Linked DNA regions of Saccharomyces cerevisiae S288C. The main gene of each other region encodes a partner of the protein of the gene in region 2 in a complex. Each region holds a gene or a part of one and is shown on either strand. Other genes may lie near its edges. A codon is read from its position in the direction of its gene.

The links. Proteins that work in one complex are often made in the same cells at the same time.
Region 1: the proteins of TAH11 (region 2) and MCM6 are in contact, whole or in part, in a cryo-EM structure (PDB 5XF8), measured with the Saccharomyces cerevisiae proteins. Residues at the interface, in NP_012580.1 of Saccharomyces cerevisiae: Gln502 (codon at 3,235), Tyr505 (codon at 3,244), Leu509 (codon at 3,256), Ser522 (codon at 3,295), Leu523 (codon at 3,298), Gly526 (codon at 3,307), Gln527 (codon at 3,310), Pro528 (codon at 3,313), Asp540 (codon at 3,349), Ser545 (codon at 3,364), Lys552 (codon at 3,385), Glu553 (codon at 3,388); in NP_011314.2 of Saccharomyces cerevisiae: Ser171 (codon at 2,091), Pro271 (codon at 2,391), Thr272 (codon at 2,394), Val273 (codon at 2,397), Phe504 (codon at 3,090), Asn506 (codon at 3,096), Ser507 (codon at 3,099), Leu508 (codon at 3,102), Ser510 (codon at 3,108), Asp511 (codon at 3,111), Ile513 (codon at 3,117), Lys517 (codon at 3,129).
Region 3: the proteins of TAH11 (region 2) and MCM2 are in contact, whole or in part, in a cryo-EM structure (PDB 5XF8), measured with the Saccharomyces cerevisiae proteins. Residues at the interface, in NP_012580.1 of Saccharomyces cerevisiae: Ser210 (codon at 2,359), Thr211 (codon at 2,362), Met212 (codon at 2,365), Ala213 (codon at 2,368), Thr215 (codon at 2,374), His244 (codon at 2,461), Thr245 (codon at 2,464), Ser331 (codon at 2,722), Gln346 (codon at 2,767), Ser349 (codon at 2,776); in NP_009530.1 of Saccharomyces cerevisiae: Thr219 (codon at 2,241), Asp220 (codon at 2,244), Glu221 (codon at 2,247), Thr222 (codon at 2,250), Gly223 (codon at 2,253), Arg224 (codon at 2,256), Val226 (codon at 2,262), Ala229 (codon at 2,271), Arg230 (codon at 2,274), Leu258 (codon at 2,358), Pro301 (codon at 2,487).

Annotation. Positions count from the first base shown.
Region 1 is NC_001139.9:116,428-122,487, reverse strand, and holds MCM6 (MCM DNA helicase complex subunit MCM6), read left to right. Parts: upstream 1-1,580; coding exon 1,581-4,634; downstream 4,635-6,060. Other genes in the region: ARO8 (bifunctional 2-aminoadipate transaminase/aromatic-amino-acid:2-oxoglutarate transaminase), read right to left, coding at 4,927-6,060. UniProt on the Saccharomyces cerevisiae protein: Acts as a component of the MCM2-7 complex (MCM complex) which is the putative replicative helicase essential for 'once per cell cycle' DNA replication initiation and elongation in eukaryotic cells.
Region 2 is NC_001142.9:520,317-526,215, forward strand, and holds TAH11 (Tah11p), read left to right. Parts: upstream 1-1,731; coding exon 1,732-3,546; downstream 3,547-5,899. Other genes in the region: Hsp70 family ATPase SSC1, read right to left, coding at 1-1,286; ANB1 (translation elongation factor eIF-5A), read right to left, coding at 4,592-5,065. UniProt on the Saccharomyces cerevisiae protein: DNA replication licensing factor, required for pre-replication complex assembly. Faithful duplication of the genetic material requires 'once per cell cycle' DNA replication initiation and elongation.
Region 3 is NC_001134.8:173,494-179,112, reverse strand, and holds MCM2 (MCM DNA helicase complex subunit MCM2), read left to right. Parts: upstream 1-1,586; coding exon 1,587-4,193; downstream 4,194-5,619. Other genes in the region: ATP-dependent Lon protease PIM1, read left to right, coding at 1-1,239; NCL1 (tRNA (cytosine-C5-)-methyltransferase), read right to left, coding at 4,525-5,619. UniProt on the Saccharomyces cerevisiae protein: Acts as a component of the MCM2-7 complex (MCM complex) which is the putative replicative helicase essential for 'once per cell cycle' DNA replication initiation and elongation in eukaryotic cells.

The DNA of each region.
Region 1 (6,060 bases), on a different chromosome or scaffold from region 2:
GCGAATCAAAAAATGGGAAATACATACGAAAAACTTGAAAGAAACAAGTACCACAGGACATGCTGTGGTCCGTTTTTCCCCAGAGCACTTTTATGTGGGACTCTTAGAAGGGAAATAGCTCTGTTCATATAGAACAAAAAAAGAATAGCCCTGTAGGGGGCTCGAACCCCTAACCTTATGATTAAGAGTCATACGCGCTACCGATTGCGCCAACAAGGCTAATTCGTTGGAAAACGTCCCCATTTCAGGGAAACATAGCTCACGATGTTAATAACTGATTTGTAGCCGAGCCACATTGTATCAACGCGTGATTAACACATGTTTGGAATATACTGTTGGAACAAGAATCAACTAGTGCTCATATTAGCAATATATTACTATATACGGTGTAAGAAGATGTCCACTATAGTCAGCCATATTCTTGATCTTACGAAAGGGAACTGTGATGTAAAATTTGTGACACTGTGACACCTTCTAGTGAAATATAGGGCATTACCAAAGTCACTAATGAGTAAAAATACCAATTACTGTCCGTAGTTCGTCAGATTAGAATCCACTATATTTTCTTTGATTGGGAGTTAACGCTGCATACTTGTCTTGGGTACTGCGTTAACCATAAATCACATAAGCGTCATTCATTATCGTACCTCTGGGTAAGTGTTTTTCAGGAGTTTTTATATATAATATGCTGGCCCCCAAGGCGGATGAGGACTGTATACGGTTTTGACGTTAAAGTGTTATATGAATCGCAGTCGCATACACTAGTGGACCCCTAGTTCCGCGATACGTAGTTGACCCTCAGTACAGAGATTCCCACGATTAACGGGTGTACTGCTCCTGACTAATGTAATTTTGAGTTCACCTGTTGATGTGGTGCTGATACTGGCACCAGTACTAATGTTTGGAAGAACTCCGTAGCATTAAGTGGAGAGATTAATCCGATACTGAGCTGAATAGTTGGTTTCACTCCCGCAAAAAGATATCAATACAGTTTGCTAACAACTTGGGAAACCCTGATGAGAAGAATTAGCGGTCATCCTGAGAAATAGGTGACCATTTAAATGGTCACTTGAATTCGATTTTCCAGTAAGGGAAGTGTCATTCGGAATCCAGAATATACCAGAAATAAGCAATTTTGCATGATAGTGCTGTTATCCTTTCTTGTGTTTTATACGATATCATACATCACCCCATTACGTTATTTATCTTGCATTTCAGTTTTTACTGGGTTTACCCTTTTCGCGATTTATATCATATTATCACCGCACATAATATACTAGTAACATTACTATTCGTCGACAAACAATAGCTTGTTTTGATTCCAGTTCTCATAACATTTGTGTACCTATTCTTTTGCCGTTCCTTCGCTATTTGGTATTGTCATCTAAGTTCGTCTATTAAATTTCCTTTTTAGGAAAAGCGCCTAATAGGCCTTTCTTGAAGCTTTTTTTTTTTCTTTCTTTAATCTACAATAATAACAAAATATTTCATTCTTAAGTGATTTACAGCGAGTATCTTACACTTCGCCACCGGTGGATAGGAAAAATAGACTTACCAAAGGTTAAAACTGGTTTTTTTCAATGTCATCCCCTTTTCCAGCTGACACACCAAGCAGTAATAGACCTTCCAACTCCTCTCCGCCACCATCGTCGATAGGTGCTGGCTTCGGAAGCAGTAGCGGACTCGATTCGCAAATAGGCTCTAGGTTACATTTCCCAAGTTCTTCTCAACCGCATGTCAGTAATTCACAAACAGGCCCTTTTGTTAACGATTCCACTCAGTTTAGTTCTCAAAGGTTGCAAACCGATGGTTCCGCGACTAATGATATGGAGGGAAATGAACCTGCCAGAAGCTTCAAAAGTAGAGCTTTGAATCACGTTAAGAAAGTTGATGACGTTACTGGTGAAAAAGTCCGTGAAGCGTTCGAGCAGTTTTTGGAAGACTTTTCCGTTCAATCCACTGATACTGGTGAAGTTGAAAAAGTTTATAGAGCTCAAATTGAATTTATGAAAATATATGACCTAAACACCATTTATATAGATTATCAGCATTTATCCATGAGAGAAAATGGTGCTCTAGCTATGGCTATCTCAGAACAATATTACAGATTTTTGCCTTTTTTACAAAAGGGTTTAAGAAGAGTAGTAAGAAAGTATGCACCTGAATTGTTAAACACAAGTGACTCATTGAAGAGATCCGAAGGTGACGAAGGTCAAGCGGATGAAGATGAGCAACAGGACGATGATATGAATGGGTCGAGTCTACCAAGAGATTCTGGATCATCAGCCGCACCAGGGAATGGGACATCTGCCATGGCAACGAGGTCAATAACAACTTCTACGTCACCTGAACAGACGGAACGTGTTTTTCAAATCAGTTTCTTCAATCTACCAACAGTTCACAGAATTCGTGATATAAGATCTGAAAAGATTGGTTCACTATTGAGTATATCAGGGACAGTGACAAGAACATCTGAGGTCCGTCCAGAATTATACAAGGCAAGCTTTACGTGTGATATGTGCCGTGCTATCGTAGATAACGTAGAACAGTCCTTCAAGTACACTGAACCGACATTTTGCCCGAACCCATCATGCGAAAATAGAGCCTTTTGGACATTAAATGTTACAAGATCCAGGTTTCTTGATTGGCAAAAAGTCAGAATTCAAGAAAATGCTAACGAAATACCTACAGGCTCCATGCCGCGTACGCTGGACGTCATTCTTCGAGGTGATAGTGTCGAAAGAGCCAAGCCAGGTGACCGTTGCAAATTTACGGGTGTGGAAATTGTAGTACCTGATGTTACACAATTGGGGCTACCAGGTGTGAAGCCAAGTTCAACATTAGATACTAGAGGTATTTCGAAGACTACTGAAGGTTTGAATAGTGGTGTTACTGGTTTACGCTCTCTTGGTGTTCGTGATTTGACATACAAGATTAGCTTTCTGGCATGCCATGTTATCAGTATTGGATCAAACATTGGTGCAAGTAGCCCTGATGCAAATTCTAACAACCGAGAAACTGAACTACAGATGGCTGCTAATTTACAAGCTAATAATGTATACCAAGATAATGAAAGAGATCAAGAAGTATTCTTGAACAGTTTGAGTTCAGATGAAATAAATGAGCTGAAGGAAATGGTAAAGGATGAACATATTTATGATAAATTGGTCAGATCTATTGCTCCAGCTGTGTTTGGCCATGAAGCCGTAAAGAAGGGTATCTTGCTTCAGATGCTCGGTGGTGTTCATAAGAGTACTGTAGAAGGTATTAAGTTAAGAGGAGATATCAACATCTGTGTTGTTGGTGATCCCTCTACTTCTAAGTCTCAATTTTTAAAATACGTAGTGGGATTTGCACCAAGATCAGTTTACACTTCCGGTAAGGCCTCGTCGGCTGCTGGTTTAACAGCTGCGGTTGTGAGAGATGAGGAAGGAGGTGATTATACAATTGAAGCAGGTGCTTTAATGCTTGCTGATAACGGTATTTGTTGTATCGATGAATTTGATAAAATGGATATTTCAGATCAAGTTGCCATTCATGAAGCTATGGAACAACAGACCATCTCTATTGCTAAAGCTGGTATTCACGCTACTTTAAATGCAAGAACATCAATTCTAGCGGCTGCCAACCCGGTAGGTGGAAGATACAATAGGAAACTATCACTGAGGGGTAATTTAAATATGACCGCACCGATCATGTCCAGATTTGATTTATTTTTTGTTATTCTTGATGACTGTAACGAAAAAATTGATACCGAATTGGCATCTCATATCGTTGACTTACACATGAAAAGAGACGAAGCCATTGAGCCGCCATTTAGTGCAGAACAACTACGTCGTTATATCAAATATGCACGTACTTTTAAACCAATATTAACGAAAGAAGCCCGTTCCTATTTAGTCGAGAAGTATAAGGAACTGAGAAAGGATGATGCCCAGGGATTTAGTAGATCGAGTTATAGAATCACAGTTAGGCAACTTGAAAGTATGATTAGATTATCAGAAGCTATTGCGAGGGCTAATTGTGTCGATGAAATTACTCCATCATTCATTGCAGAAGCTTACGATCTTTTAAGGCAAAGTATTATTCGTGTTGATGTGGATGATGTGGAAATGGATGAAGAATTTGATAACATAGAGAGTCAAAGTCACGCCGCTTCTGGAAACAATGATGACAATGATGATGGGACTGGGTCAGGTGTAATTACGAGTGAGCCACCAGCAGATATAGAAGAAGGACAAAGCGAAGCTACAGCTCGTCCAGGTACAAGCGAGAAGAAGAAAACAACGGTGACGTATGATAAATATGTGTCCATGATGAACATGATCGTTAGAAAGATTGCTGAAGTAGATAGGGAGGGTGCAGAAGAACTAACAGCTGTGGATATAGTTGATTGGTATTTATTACAGAAGGAAAATGATTTGGGTTCGTTAGCAGAATATTGGGAAGAGAGAAGATTAGCGTTCAAAGTCATAAAAAGGTTGGTCAAAGATAGGATTTTAATGGAGATTCATGGTACCAGACACAATTTAAGAGATCTTGAGAATGAGGAAAATGAAAATAATAAAACTGTTTATGTTATTCATCCAAACTGTGAGGTTTTGGATCAATTGGAACCACAGGATTCCAGCTAATTCAGTGCACTCTTGCGGATTTTCATATTTCGTTTCAAGTATCGTTCACGTTGTAAATTCCTATCGTGTGCATTTCTCTTTGTGGGAGAAAAATATCTTACATAACTTGGCTCTCAAATCAAGTTATAATTGTTGTATAAAGTTGTACTCTTAATGAAAAAACAAAATATTATATTTTGGCTTCCACTTGCAGTCTTTTACAAAAAGAAAAAATACTTCGAAATTTAAGCAATACAAAAATACGTACGTCCTTTTTTCACCTTATATATATTCTTCCAACGTATTTACCTCTCTATTTGGAAATACCAAATTCTTCGTATAAAGTATCACCTAATCTCTTCAGACCTTCAGTCAGTTTCTCAGGAGAGACAGCTGCATAGGTACCTCTGAAGAAAATTATGTTTGGATTACTGACTTCTTTAGATTCAGCGGGTTGAGGAGGTTCCGTCTCACCCTCACTCTTGAACCAAGAACCGGGAACCACTAAAACACCACGTTCAACCACTTTGTGGTAAAGACTCTGTTCTAGCTGGTAAGGGTCTGAGTTGTATTTTGTTTTAAACTCAGGGTGGACAGATGCGTCAATGTTCACGGTGAAAAACATACCTGCAATTGGAGGATTGATCACGAAAGCATCAGATTGTGGTAGATACTTGTAAAGGGCATCGATGGCACAGTCACGTTTCAAAGTGTATTCATGACGCAGGCCAAGCAACCAGTCCAAGTAACCCTTTTGACCCCACCTGGATAGCGTAGCGTTGACCAAAACTTGTGTAAAACCTGCTGGGGCTTGAATCGTCATTTCATGCAAACTCAAGTAAGGCTTCAAGATTTTGGATGAACCAGTAATCCAACCCAATCTTGTCCCTGGGGCCAAAACTTTTGAAAAGGAATCCATTCTAATAACACGGCCTTCTGTATCCAAGGAAAGGAAAGTGTTTGCCAAGGACTTCAAAAATTCGTCATGGTCCTGCTTTGGAGAACTTTGTGCCTTCTCTCTTTCCTTCAAGTCTTTGATGTAGGGATTCATTTGTAAGAAATAATAAGGTTCATCTTCCACAATTAGGAAGTCGTACTTTTGAGCGATCTTGTAAATTGCCTCCTTTCTATGGTCTGCAATGGAAGTACCAGTTGGATTTTGGCCCGTTGGAATAGTGTATAACAACTTTGGTTTAGGAGCACCAGGTGTCCAGTTTTCCATGACTTTAGCTAATTTTTCAGGAATGATACCATCAGCGTCAATTGGCACGGGGAAGGTAATGACACCTTGAGCCTCTGCAGAAGCCAATGAAGAGGAAAAAGAATGTGCCTCAACTAAGATGACATCACCTCGGTTACAAAAGACTCTTAAAGTAGATTCCCAGGCATTTGTGTTACCTGCAGTGGCTAAAACGTCCCAGTCCTTATACTTCAAATCGTGGATAAT
Region 2 (5,899 bases):
CCACCTAAAGTTTCGATACCTAGAGACAATGGGGTAACATCTAATAATAAGACGTCAGTAACCTCACCGGACAAGACAGCACCTTGCACAGCAGCACCAATGGCAACAGCTTCATCTGGGTTGACGGCCTTAGATGGGTCCTTACCAAACAAAGATTTAACGGTTTCGACAACCTTAGGCATTCTGGACATACCACCGACCAATAAGACTTCAGATATGTCTGAAGTAGACAAACCGGCGTCTTTCAAAGCCTTCTTGACTGGGTCGACAGTTCTCTTAACTAGTGGGGCTGTCAAAGTCTCGAATTGAGCCCTGGAGAACTTCATGTTGATATGCTTTGGACCTGAGGCATCAGCAGTGATAAATGGCAGGTTGATTTCAGTGGAAACGGTAGAAGATAGCTCAATCTTAGCCTTTTCAGCAGCTTCTCTAATTCTTTGGATAGCCATACGGTCATTTTCCAAATCAATACCAGTTTCGGTCTTGAAACGAGAAACAATCTCTCTCAACAAATAGATGTCGAAATCTTCACCACCCAAATGAGTGTCACCGTTAGTGGACTTAACTTCAAAAACACCGTTGTCAATATCTAAGATGGAGATATCGAAAGTACCACCACCCAAATCGAAAACGGCAACAACTTTAGAGTCGGATTTTTCCAAACCGTAAGCTAAGGCAGCGGCGGTTGGTTCATTGACGACACGTAAAACGTTCAAACCAACAATTTGGCCTGCGTCTTTAGTAGCTTGTCTTTGAGAGTCGTTGAAATAAGCTGGGACAGTGACAACAGCATTCTTAACTGGCTTACCCAAGTAGGCCTCAGCTGTTTCCTTCATCTTGTTCAAGACGAACCCACCGATTTGGGCTGGTGAGTAAGTTTGACCTCTGGCCTCAACCCAAGCATCCCCGTTGGAGTGCTTGACGATCTTGTATGGAACTTGCTTGATATCTCTTTGCACTTCAGCGTCTTCGAAACGACGACCAATCAAACGCTTGGTAGCAAATAGGGTGTTTTCTGGGTTCACTACGGCTTGACGCTTGGCTGGAATACCAACCAAACGTTCTCCCTCTTTAGTGAAAGCTACTACAGAAGGAGTAGTTCTGGAACCTTCGGCGTTTTCAATAATTTTTGGAACTTTACCTTCCATAATGGCAACCGCAGAGTTGGTGGTACCCAAATCGATACCGATGACGGAACCTTGAACCTTGGTTGACTGCAAACGTGTGGCAATACGGAAAGAGCTAGACAAGCTTGACCTGTTTAGTATGTTTTTAGCAGCAAGCATCTTGGTGCGTATAATATGAGATTTGTGTAGTCTTAATTATATTAAATGGGTCGTAAATACAAAAGTTGTCACTCTGGCAAAGGTTGGTGAGCAGCGGGGCGTCGATATGTACAGCAGGCAGAGGAGGACAGCAACGTATGGAGTTTTCAAACGTGGAACAAAGAACCCAAAAGTTCCCAAGCGTCGAGCCGGCGTTGGATCGTTCGTTTTTATACACCGCACCGTAAGCGGTCACCGGAAAAAGAGGCAGGGGGCGGTGGAACCGGGCCGAAGCCCATGGAAAAGCTCTGCCGTTGTGGGTGATATACAATTATTCAGCGCATCTAAGGCACTAGCTTTAGCACATTGTACCATTGCGATGATGCGGAAGAGTTTAATATAAGCAGATGTTAGTTGCGGTAGTTGGTATCATGACAGTGAGCTGAACTACGTAGCGTCGTGATTTATGAGTGGCACAGCTAATAGTAGGAGGAAGGAGGTTTTGCGCGTGCCTGTGATAGATTTGAATAGAGTTTCAGATGAAGAGCAGCTGTTGCCGGTGGTGAGGGCAATTTTGCTACAGCATGACACCTTTCTGTTAAAAAATTATGCTAACAAGGCTGTTCTAGATGCACTACTAGCGGGGCTCACGACAAAGGACCTGCCTGACACGAGTCAAGGTTTTGATGCGAACTTTACGGGTACATTACCGCTAGAAGATGATGTTTGGCTGGAGCAGTACATATTTGACACTGATCCTCAATTACGCTTCGATCGGAAGTGCAGGAATGAGTCACTGTGCTCCATATATAGTAGGCTGTTCAAACTGGGTCTGTTTTTCGCCCAACTGTGTGTGAAAAGTGTGGTTTCTAGCGCAGAATTGCAAGACTGTATCAGCACCTCTCATTATGCGACTAAGCTGACCCGTTATTTCAATGATAATGGTAGTACACACGATGGTGCAGATGCAGGTGCTACCGTGCTGCCCACTGGCGACGATTTCCAGTACCTGTTTGAAAGGGACTATGTTACTTTTCTTCCGACGGGCGTGTTGACCATCTTCCCCTGTGCCAAGGCTATAAGGTACAAGCCATCGACTATGGCGACGACGGACAATTCTTGGGTGAGTATTGATGAACCCGATTGTCTTCTGTTCCACACGGGGACCCTCCTTGCGCGCTGGTCTCAAGGTATGCACACTACCTCACCACTCCAGATAGATCCTCGTGCGAACATTGTTTCGTTGACCATCTGGCCTCCACTTACTACGCCAATCTCGAGTAAAGGAGAGGGTACGATTGCCAATCATTTGTTGGAGCAACAAATTAAGGCTTTCCCAAAAGTCGCTCAGCAATACTACCCACGGGAGCTTAGTATTCTAAGACTCCAAGACGCAATGAAGTTTGTTAAGGAGTTGTTTACTGTTTGCGAGACTGTATTGTCTTTAAACGCTCTTTCCAGATCCACGGGCGTCCCACCAGAGCTGCACGTTTTGTTACCCCAGATATCCAGCATGATGAAAAGGAAAATAGTGCAGGATGATATTTTGAAGTTATTGACCATTTGGTCTGATGCATACGTAGTGGAACTGAACTCTAGAGGGGAGCTGACCATGAATCTACCCAAAAGAGACAATCTAACAACGTTGACCAATAAGTCTAGGACTTTGGCATTCGTGGAAAGGGCAGAGTCGTGGTACCAACAAGTGATAGCTTCCAAGGATGAGATTATGACTGATGTACCCGCTTTCAAAATAAATAAAAGAAGGTCCAGCTCTAATTCTAAAACAGTCTTGAGCAGTAAAGTGCAAACGAAGAGCTCTAATGCTAATGCCTTGAATAACTCAAGATATTTGGCGAATAGTAAGGAAAATTTCATGTACAAAGAGAAGATGCCTGATTCGCAAGCAAACCTTATGGACAGACTGCGTGAAAGAGAGAGACGTTCGGCCGCATTGCTTTCTCAAAGGCAAAAACGTTACCAGCAGTTTCTAGCGATGAAAATGACTCAGGTATTTGATATTCTTTTTTCGCTGACCAGGGGCCAGCCTTATACAGAGACATATCTAAGCTCGCTAATCGTAGATAGTTTACAAGATAGTAATAATCCTATCGGTACAAAAGAAGCAAGTGAAATTTTAGCTGGGCTACAAGGTATCCTACCAATGGACATATCTGTTCATCAAGTGGATGGTGGGTTAAAAGTTTATAGATGGAACAGTTTGGATAAAAACAGATTTTCTAAGCTGTTGCAAATCCACAAATCAAAACAACAAGATTGAAGAATATTTTTAGATATAAGGTAGAATACGTACATTTACGGTAAAAAAAAAAAAAAAAGAAAAAAAATTGATCTTGATACATACGTTGGTATTTTACTTTGAAGACTGTGCATTGTGTATGTACGAAAAGAAAGGGAAATAAAAAATAACGACAACTGCAGGACTCGAACCTGCGCGGGCAAAGCCCAAAAGATTTCTAATCTTTCGCCTTAACCACTCGGCCAAGTTGCCTTTAATCTCTTGAGTTTGTTTAAGGACAACACTGTCCACCTGGCATGGGAATATTACCATTATTCCAGATTCGGGCTTGTTATTAGGACTTTTTACCAGCTTGATTTACCGGTCATTACTTATCCTACACATCATACATCACAACTACACTTGGTGAAGAAATCACAGAGCCTTGGATTTGTAACAATTATATGTTTACGCAATTTATCTTGGGAAAGCAGGGCCTCATTTGTGGACATAGCACGGTCTGTCACCCTCGTCGTGCAAAAAATATTTTGACTTCTACTCTTTTTGAAGTTTCGTTGATCGGGTCCCTTCCAAGGAAAAGTCGAATGCTGTCACTGCGCATATAAAGGCGAGAACGATAGTGACTGTGATATTAAGTTATTGTCATCATATAAGTAATTTTTTCTCTGATATCTGTAGCCCTAGTTTTTAATATTTTCGTAAAATGCTCAAAAAAATTTCTGTTTAAATTCTTCTGGGGTATATACACATGTTCCCGTCAGCTAAATTAAAAAGAAGAAGGAACCGAAAGAAGGCAAATTATAAAGTAATCATCCTCGGCATATTGAGGGGAAAATATCCGTCAAAAAAAAAAGTTCTGCACGTCGTCATAAGTGACTATGGTATCAAACACCAATTAACACGAACGTAGCGATAATGAAGGCAACTTCGTAGCTGAAACAGAACGAAGTTAGTTAGGATGAATAATTATGATTATGATTATTATAATATTATATAAAATGTATAAATAAGATTTCTAGATCAAAAAAACATCGCGTATTTTGTAAGCTATAGAAATCTAAAATATCTAATCAGATCTTGGAGCTTCCTTGAAGGAGATGGCAGCTTCTTCACCCATGGCAGAAATGATAGTGACCATCAAATCCTTACCTTCATCGAAAGCAGCTTGCATGCTGTCACCCAATTCACCTTCTGGTGCCTTGACATCGTCTTTGGTTTCACCGTCCATGGTCATCAAGGACAAGTAGCCATCATCAATATCCAACAATTGGTATTCGCTTCTCTTGACAAATGGAACTTCCAAGTTGTGAGTGGATGGAGACAAATCTTCCAACTTCTTACCAGTGAAGATATCAAGGGTAACCAAATGGACCTTGGCGTGACCGTGCTTACCGGTCTTGGAAGTGGACATGTCGACAATCTTACATGGTCTACCTTTGATGACAACGAAACCATTCTTTCTCAAGGCAGAACATTGCATTGGGTAGGTGGCGGAGGCACCAGCGTCAGCATTTTCAAAGGTGTGTTCTTCGTCAGACATGTTTTAGTGTGTGAATGAAATAGGTGTATGTTTTCTTTTTGCTAGACAATAATTAGGAACAAGGTAAGGGAACTAAAGTGTAGAATAAGATTAAAAAAGAAGAACAAGTTGAAAAGGCAAGTTGAAATTTCAAGAAAAAAGTCAATTGAAGTACAGTAAATTGACCTGAATATATCTGAGTTCCGACAACAATGAGTTTACCAAAGAGAACAATGGAATAGGAAACTTTGAACGAAGAAAGGAAAGCAGGAAAGGAAAAAATTTTTAGGCTCGAGAACAATAGGGCGAAAAAACAGGCAACGAACGAACAATGGAAAAACGAAAAAAAAAAAAAAAAACACAGAAAAGAATGCAGAAAGATGTCAACTGAAAAAAAAAAAGGTGAACACAGGAAAAAAAATAAAAAAAAAAAAAAAAAAAGGAGGACGAAACAAAAAAGTGAAAAAAAATGAAAATTTTTTTGGAAAACCAAGAAATGAATTATATTTCCGTGTGAGACGACATCGTCGAATATGATTCAGGGTAACAGTATTGATGTAATCAATTTCCTACCTGAATCTAAAATTCCCGGGAGCAAGATCAAGATGTTTTCACCGATCTTTCCGGTCTCTTTGGCCGGGGTTTACGGACGATGGCAGAAGACCAAAGCGCCAGTTCATTTGGCGAGCGTTGGTTGGTGGATCAAGCCCACGCGTAGGCAATCCTCGAGCAGATCCGCCAGGCGTGTATATATAGCGTGGATGGCCAGGCAACTTTAGTGCTGACACATACAGGCATATATATATGTGTGCGACGACACATGATCATATGGCATGCATGTGCTCTGTATGTATA
Region 3 (5,619 bases), on a different chromosome or scaffold from region 2:
GACCCTGAACAAAACAACAGCTTCTTGGATAACTACTTGGATATTCCTATTGACTTATCAAAAGTGCTTTTCGTTTGCACTGCTAACTCTTTGGAAACTATTCCAAGACCTTTACTGGATCGTATGGAAGTCATTGAGTTGACAGGATATGTTGCTGAAGACAAGGTTAAGATTGCCGAGCAGTATTTAGTTCCAAGTGCCAAGAAAAGCGCTGGTCTAGAAAACTCTCATGTTGATATGACAGAAGATGCAATAACAGCGTTAATGAAGTACTACTGTAGAGAAAGTGGTGTAAGGAATTTGAAAAAACACATCGAGAAAATATACCGTAAAGCAGCCCTACAAGTGGTAAAGAAGTTGAGTATTGAAGATTCCCCAACGTCATCAGCCGACAGCAAGCCTAAAGAAAGCGTTTCTTCCGAAGAAAAGGCGGAAAATAACGCCAAAAGCTCATCGGAGAAGACTAAGGACAATAATTCGGAAAAGACAAGCGATGACATTGAAGCCTTAAAGACCTCTGAAAAGATCAATGTTTCCATATCCCAGAAAAACCTAAAAGATTACGTTGGGCCTCCAGTCTACACTACAGACCGGTTATACGAAACAACTCCACCAGGGGTAGTTATGGGGTTGGCGTGGACTAATATGGGAGGTTGCTCACTTTATGTAGAATCTGTCCTTGAACAACCTTTACACAACTGCAAGCATCCAACATTTGAAAGGACCGGGCAACTGGGAGATGTTATGAAGGAATCATCAAGGCTTGCTTATTCATTCGCCAAGATGTATTTAGCACAAAAATTCCCTGAGAACAGATTTTTTGAAAAGGCGTCTATCCACTTGCATTGTCCTGAAGGTGCTACCCCTAAAGATGGTCCATCTGCAGGTGTCACTATGGCCACTTCCTTCCTTTCCCTAGCATTGAATAAGTCGATTGACCCAACGGTTGCGATGACCGGTGAATTGACACTTACCGGTAAAGTTTTACGTATCGGTGGGTTGAGAGAAAAAGCTGTGGCCGCTAAAAGATCTGGTGCCAAGACTATTATTTTCCCTAAAGATAACTTAAATGATTGGGAGGAACTTCCAGACAATGTAAAGGAAGGGTTGGAACCTTTAGCTGCTGATTGGTATAATGATATATTCCAAAAATTATTCAAGGATGTGAATACGAAAGAAGGTAATTCAGTATGGAAGGCTGAATTTGAGATTTTGGATGCTAAAAAGGAAAAGGACTAACTTTTCATCTAAATGGATTAAATACCTGTTTAAACATTCTGTAAATATTTAAACATAAACATCAATTTTATTACACAATACTAAATTCTTTCTTTTCTTCGTGAAGTATGTATGTGGGAAACCCAAGATGGCGGAATCGCGTGTAATATTATTTATCATATGCCTTTTTTAGGAAATCTAATTACTTACCGAAGAAAATAGGACAACGAAAAATTTCGAGAAACGAAACCAGAAAGTAAATGGTGAATATCCTATAATCTACACATTTTGGTACAGTTTACTTAATAATACTCCACACACCTCTTTGCCTCTTTTCTAAGAAGTATAACACAACTACAATATAAGTGATGTCTGATAATAGAAGACGTAGACGTGAGGAAGATGATTCGGACTCAGAAAATGAGCTACCGCCATCCTCACCTCAGCAACATTTTAGAGGGGGGATGAACCCAGTTTCATCACCTATTGGTTCTCCAGATATGATTAACCCTGAAGGTGACGATAATGAAGTTGACGATGTACCAGATATTGATGAAGTTGAAGAACAAATGAACGAAGTAGATTTGATGGACGATAATATGTATGAGGATTATGCGGCTGATCATAATAGAGATAGATATGATCCAGATCAAGTTGACGACAGGGAACAACAAGAACTATCTTTAAGCGAACGTCGCCGCATTGATGCTCAACTAAATGAAAGAGATAGGCTATTGAGAAATGTTGCCTACATAGATGACGAGGACGAAGAACAAGAAGGTGCAGCGCAACTTGATGAAATGGGCCTTCCTGTGCAAAGACGAAGAAGGAGAAGGCAGTATGAGGACTTAGAGAATAGTGATGACGATCTATTGAGTGACATGGACATTGACCCATTAAGAGAAGAACTTACTTTAGAATCTCTGAGTAACGTTAAGGCTAACAGTTACTCGGAATGGATAACACAACCTAATGTCTCAAGAACTATTGCCAGAGAGTTAAAATCATTCCTGCTGGAATATACAGATGAAACGGGTCGTTCTGTATATGGTGCACGTATTAGAACATTAGGTGAAATGAATTCTGAATCTTTGGAGGTTAATTATAGACACTTAGCGGAGTCCAAAGCCATCCTGGCACTATTTTTAGCTAAATGTCCAGAAGAAATGTTGAAAATATTCGATCTCGTGGCTATGGAGGCAACAGAATTGCATTACCCAGATTATGCCCGTATTCACTCCGAAATTCACGTAAGAATCTCTGATTTTCCAACAATATACAGTTTACGTGAATTGCGTGAGTCTAATTTGTCCTCTCTAGTACGCGTCACTGGGGTGGTGACAAGAAGAACAGGAGTCTTCCCTCAATTAAAATATGTCAAATTCAATTGTTTGAAATGTGGCTCCATTTTGGGCCCATTTTTTCAAGATTCTAATGAAGAAATTAGAATCTCATTCTGTACAAACTGCAAATCAAAAGGTCCCTTTAGAGTCAATGGAGAAAAAACTGTGTACCGAAATTATCAAAGGGTTACGCTCCAGGAAGCTCCCGGAACCGTTCCTCCAGGCCGTCTACCAAGACATAGAGAAGTCATTTTGTTGGCGGATTTGGTAGATGTATCCAAGCCAGGTGAAGAGGTAGAAGTTACCGGCATCTACAAAAATAACTACGATGGTAACTTGAATGCAAAGAACGGATTCCCCGTTTTTGCAACAATTATCGAGGCAAATTCTATAAAAAGAAGAGAGGGCAATACAGCTAACGAAGGCGAAGAAGGGTTGGATGTTTTCAGTTGGACTGAAGAAGAAGAACGTGAATTTAGAAAGATTTCTAGGGATCGTGGTATAATTGATAAAATTATATCATCGATGGCACCGTCTATCTATGGTCATAGAGATATTAAAACTGCAGTCGCGTGCTCATTATTTGGAGGTGTTCCAAAAAACGTCAATGGAAAACATTCTATTCGTGGTGATATCAATGTGTTATTATTAGGTGATCCAGGTACTGCCAAATCTCAAATCTTAAAATACGTCGAGAAAACAGCGCATAGAGCGGTCTTTGCAACTGGTCAGGGTGCTTCGGCTGTCGGTCTGACAGCATCCGTCAGAAAAGATCCTATTACTAAAGAATGGACCTTAGAAGGGGGGGCGCTAGTATTGGCTGATAAGGGTGTTTGTTTAATTGATGAATTCGATAAGATGAACGATCAGGATCGTACATCTATTCATGAGGCTATGGAACAGCAAAGTATTTCCATTTCCAAGGCCGGTATTGTTACTACATTACAAGCGCGCTGCTCAATTATTGCTGCGGCAAATCCTAATGGTGGTAGATATAATTCAACCTTGCCTTTAGCTCAGAATGTTAGTTTGACCGAGCCTATTCTGTCTAGATTTGATATTTTATGTGTTGTCAGAGACCTTGTTGATGAAGAGGCAGACGAAAGATTGGCCACATTTGTTGTCGATTCTCATGTAAGATCTCATCCAGAAAACGATGAAGATCGAGAAGGCGAAGAGCTTAAAAATAATGGCGAATCGGCGATAGAACAAGGAGAAGATGAAATAAATGAGCAGCTTAATGCAAGGCAAAGAAGACTTCAAAGACAAAGGAAGAAGGAGGAAGAGATCTCGCCTATTCCACAGGAATTATTGATGAAATATATTCACTATGCGAGGACAAAAATATACCCTAAATTGCATCAGATGGATATGGATAAGGTTAGCAGGGTATATGCGGATTTGAGAAGAGAAAGTATTTCTACAGGTTCGTTTCCAATCACAGTTCGTCATTTAGAATCTATTCTAAGAATTGCAGAATCTTTTGCTAAAATGAGATTATCTGAATTTGTGTCTTCTTATGATTTGGATAGAGCTATCAAAGTTGTAGTTGATTCCTTTGTTGATGCCCAAAAAGTCAGTGTTCGCCGCCAACTCCGCAGGTCTTTCGCAATTTATACCTTGGGTCACTAAAACTTTGTTATTCCTACGAATATCTGGATATGAAGATAAAAAATTCTCTGTCTCAATCCATGTATTGGCAATCCTATTTTCAATATACAAGTTTCCTTTATTTTTTGTATAATTTTTATACACTGTATCTTTAATTTCAATTCAACTAAATACTCAAGATCTAGTCAAAAGTGCATTATTTACTATCCAAAAAAAAAAAAAAAAATGAAGTAAAAAAGAAGTAACAAGACCGAATAAAAAAGGCTCATTACTGAAGTATTATATTCTTATTTTTGCCTTTTAATAATATACATTTACTTTACAGTGGAGGGGATAAGAAACATGATAACTATCAATTAGCAGCGCTAGGAGCTTCAGTAGAGGTTCCGGTAGTAGTTTCTGCGGGAGATTCAGTCGTTTCTTTTTCTTTTTCTTTTTCTTCAGCGCTTGGAGTAGCCTTGGCATTCGCATCAATACCAAAGATCCTATATAATAGCTCATGAGTATCTTCTTTACAAACCATCAAATTGATACACTTGTTGCCTTTCCACACAGGCAAGAATAAGTTTTCTTTGGCAGGGTCATTTCTTGACACATCAATAAAGGCGCAACCAGAGCTTAATTTTGTCATCTTTTCAACAAAATCATTATCGATGTTCTTCGAACGAATGTCGTCAAAGTTAGGGAAAGATTCGATTAACAAGTGTTTTAACATCTCTAAATTAGCTTCAACAATTCTATTAGATTTCATATGGTGTTTCATTATTGGCAATGATTCACTTTGGATTCTCCATGAACATTCGATATCACTTCTTTGAGAGACAAACAATTTTACACCAGAATAAATAATCTTCAACCTATCGTCATTCGCTTGAATAACATCCTTCAATGCTGGACACACAGTGTAAACCACTCTTGTTGGTTCACCAGTGGCGTTACGCACTAAACAAGTGTTTCTGTCGAAAATATTATCGATGCCGTAGAAATCCCAACAAACTTTTAAAGCTTCGTGCTGTGGATCAACGAAAACAAAAGGCTCTTCGTTCGCGTCACGTGGTAGTCTTTCTTTCTTTTGGACTTCTTCTACCTTTATTTTCTTTGTTTGAGGTCCTTCAGACTCTAGAGCTGGGGTTTCAGAAGATAGTTTCTCTGTAGCCGCCTCAGTGCTATCTTCGACTTTTTCGAAAACAGTAATGAAAAATCCGCCTGTGTTTTGTTGGTGAGGATAAACCCTCATACAATTTTGTAAATTGAATTTCGATGCCTCTTCTTCAGATGGTGAAAAGAAACTATCTAGTGTACCTTCGTCTCCTTTGGTTTTCTCAGTCAAATTTCTGTCATAGACAGGCCATTTGGATACACCCTTGGATCTTATTAGGCCAGGAAGCTTATCATCACAGTTAACTAATCTAATCTTGTCACCCCACTTTCTTAACGCTTCGGCAAC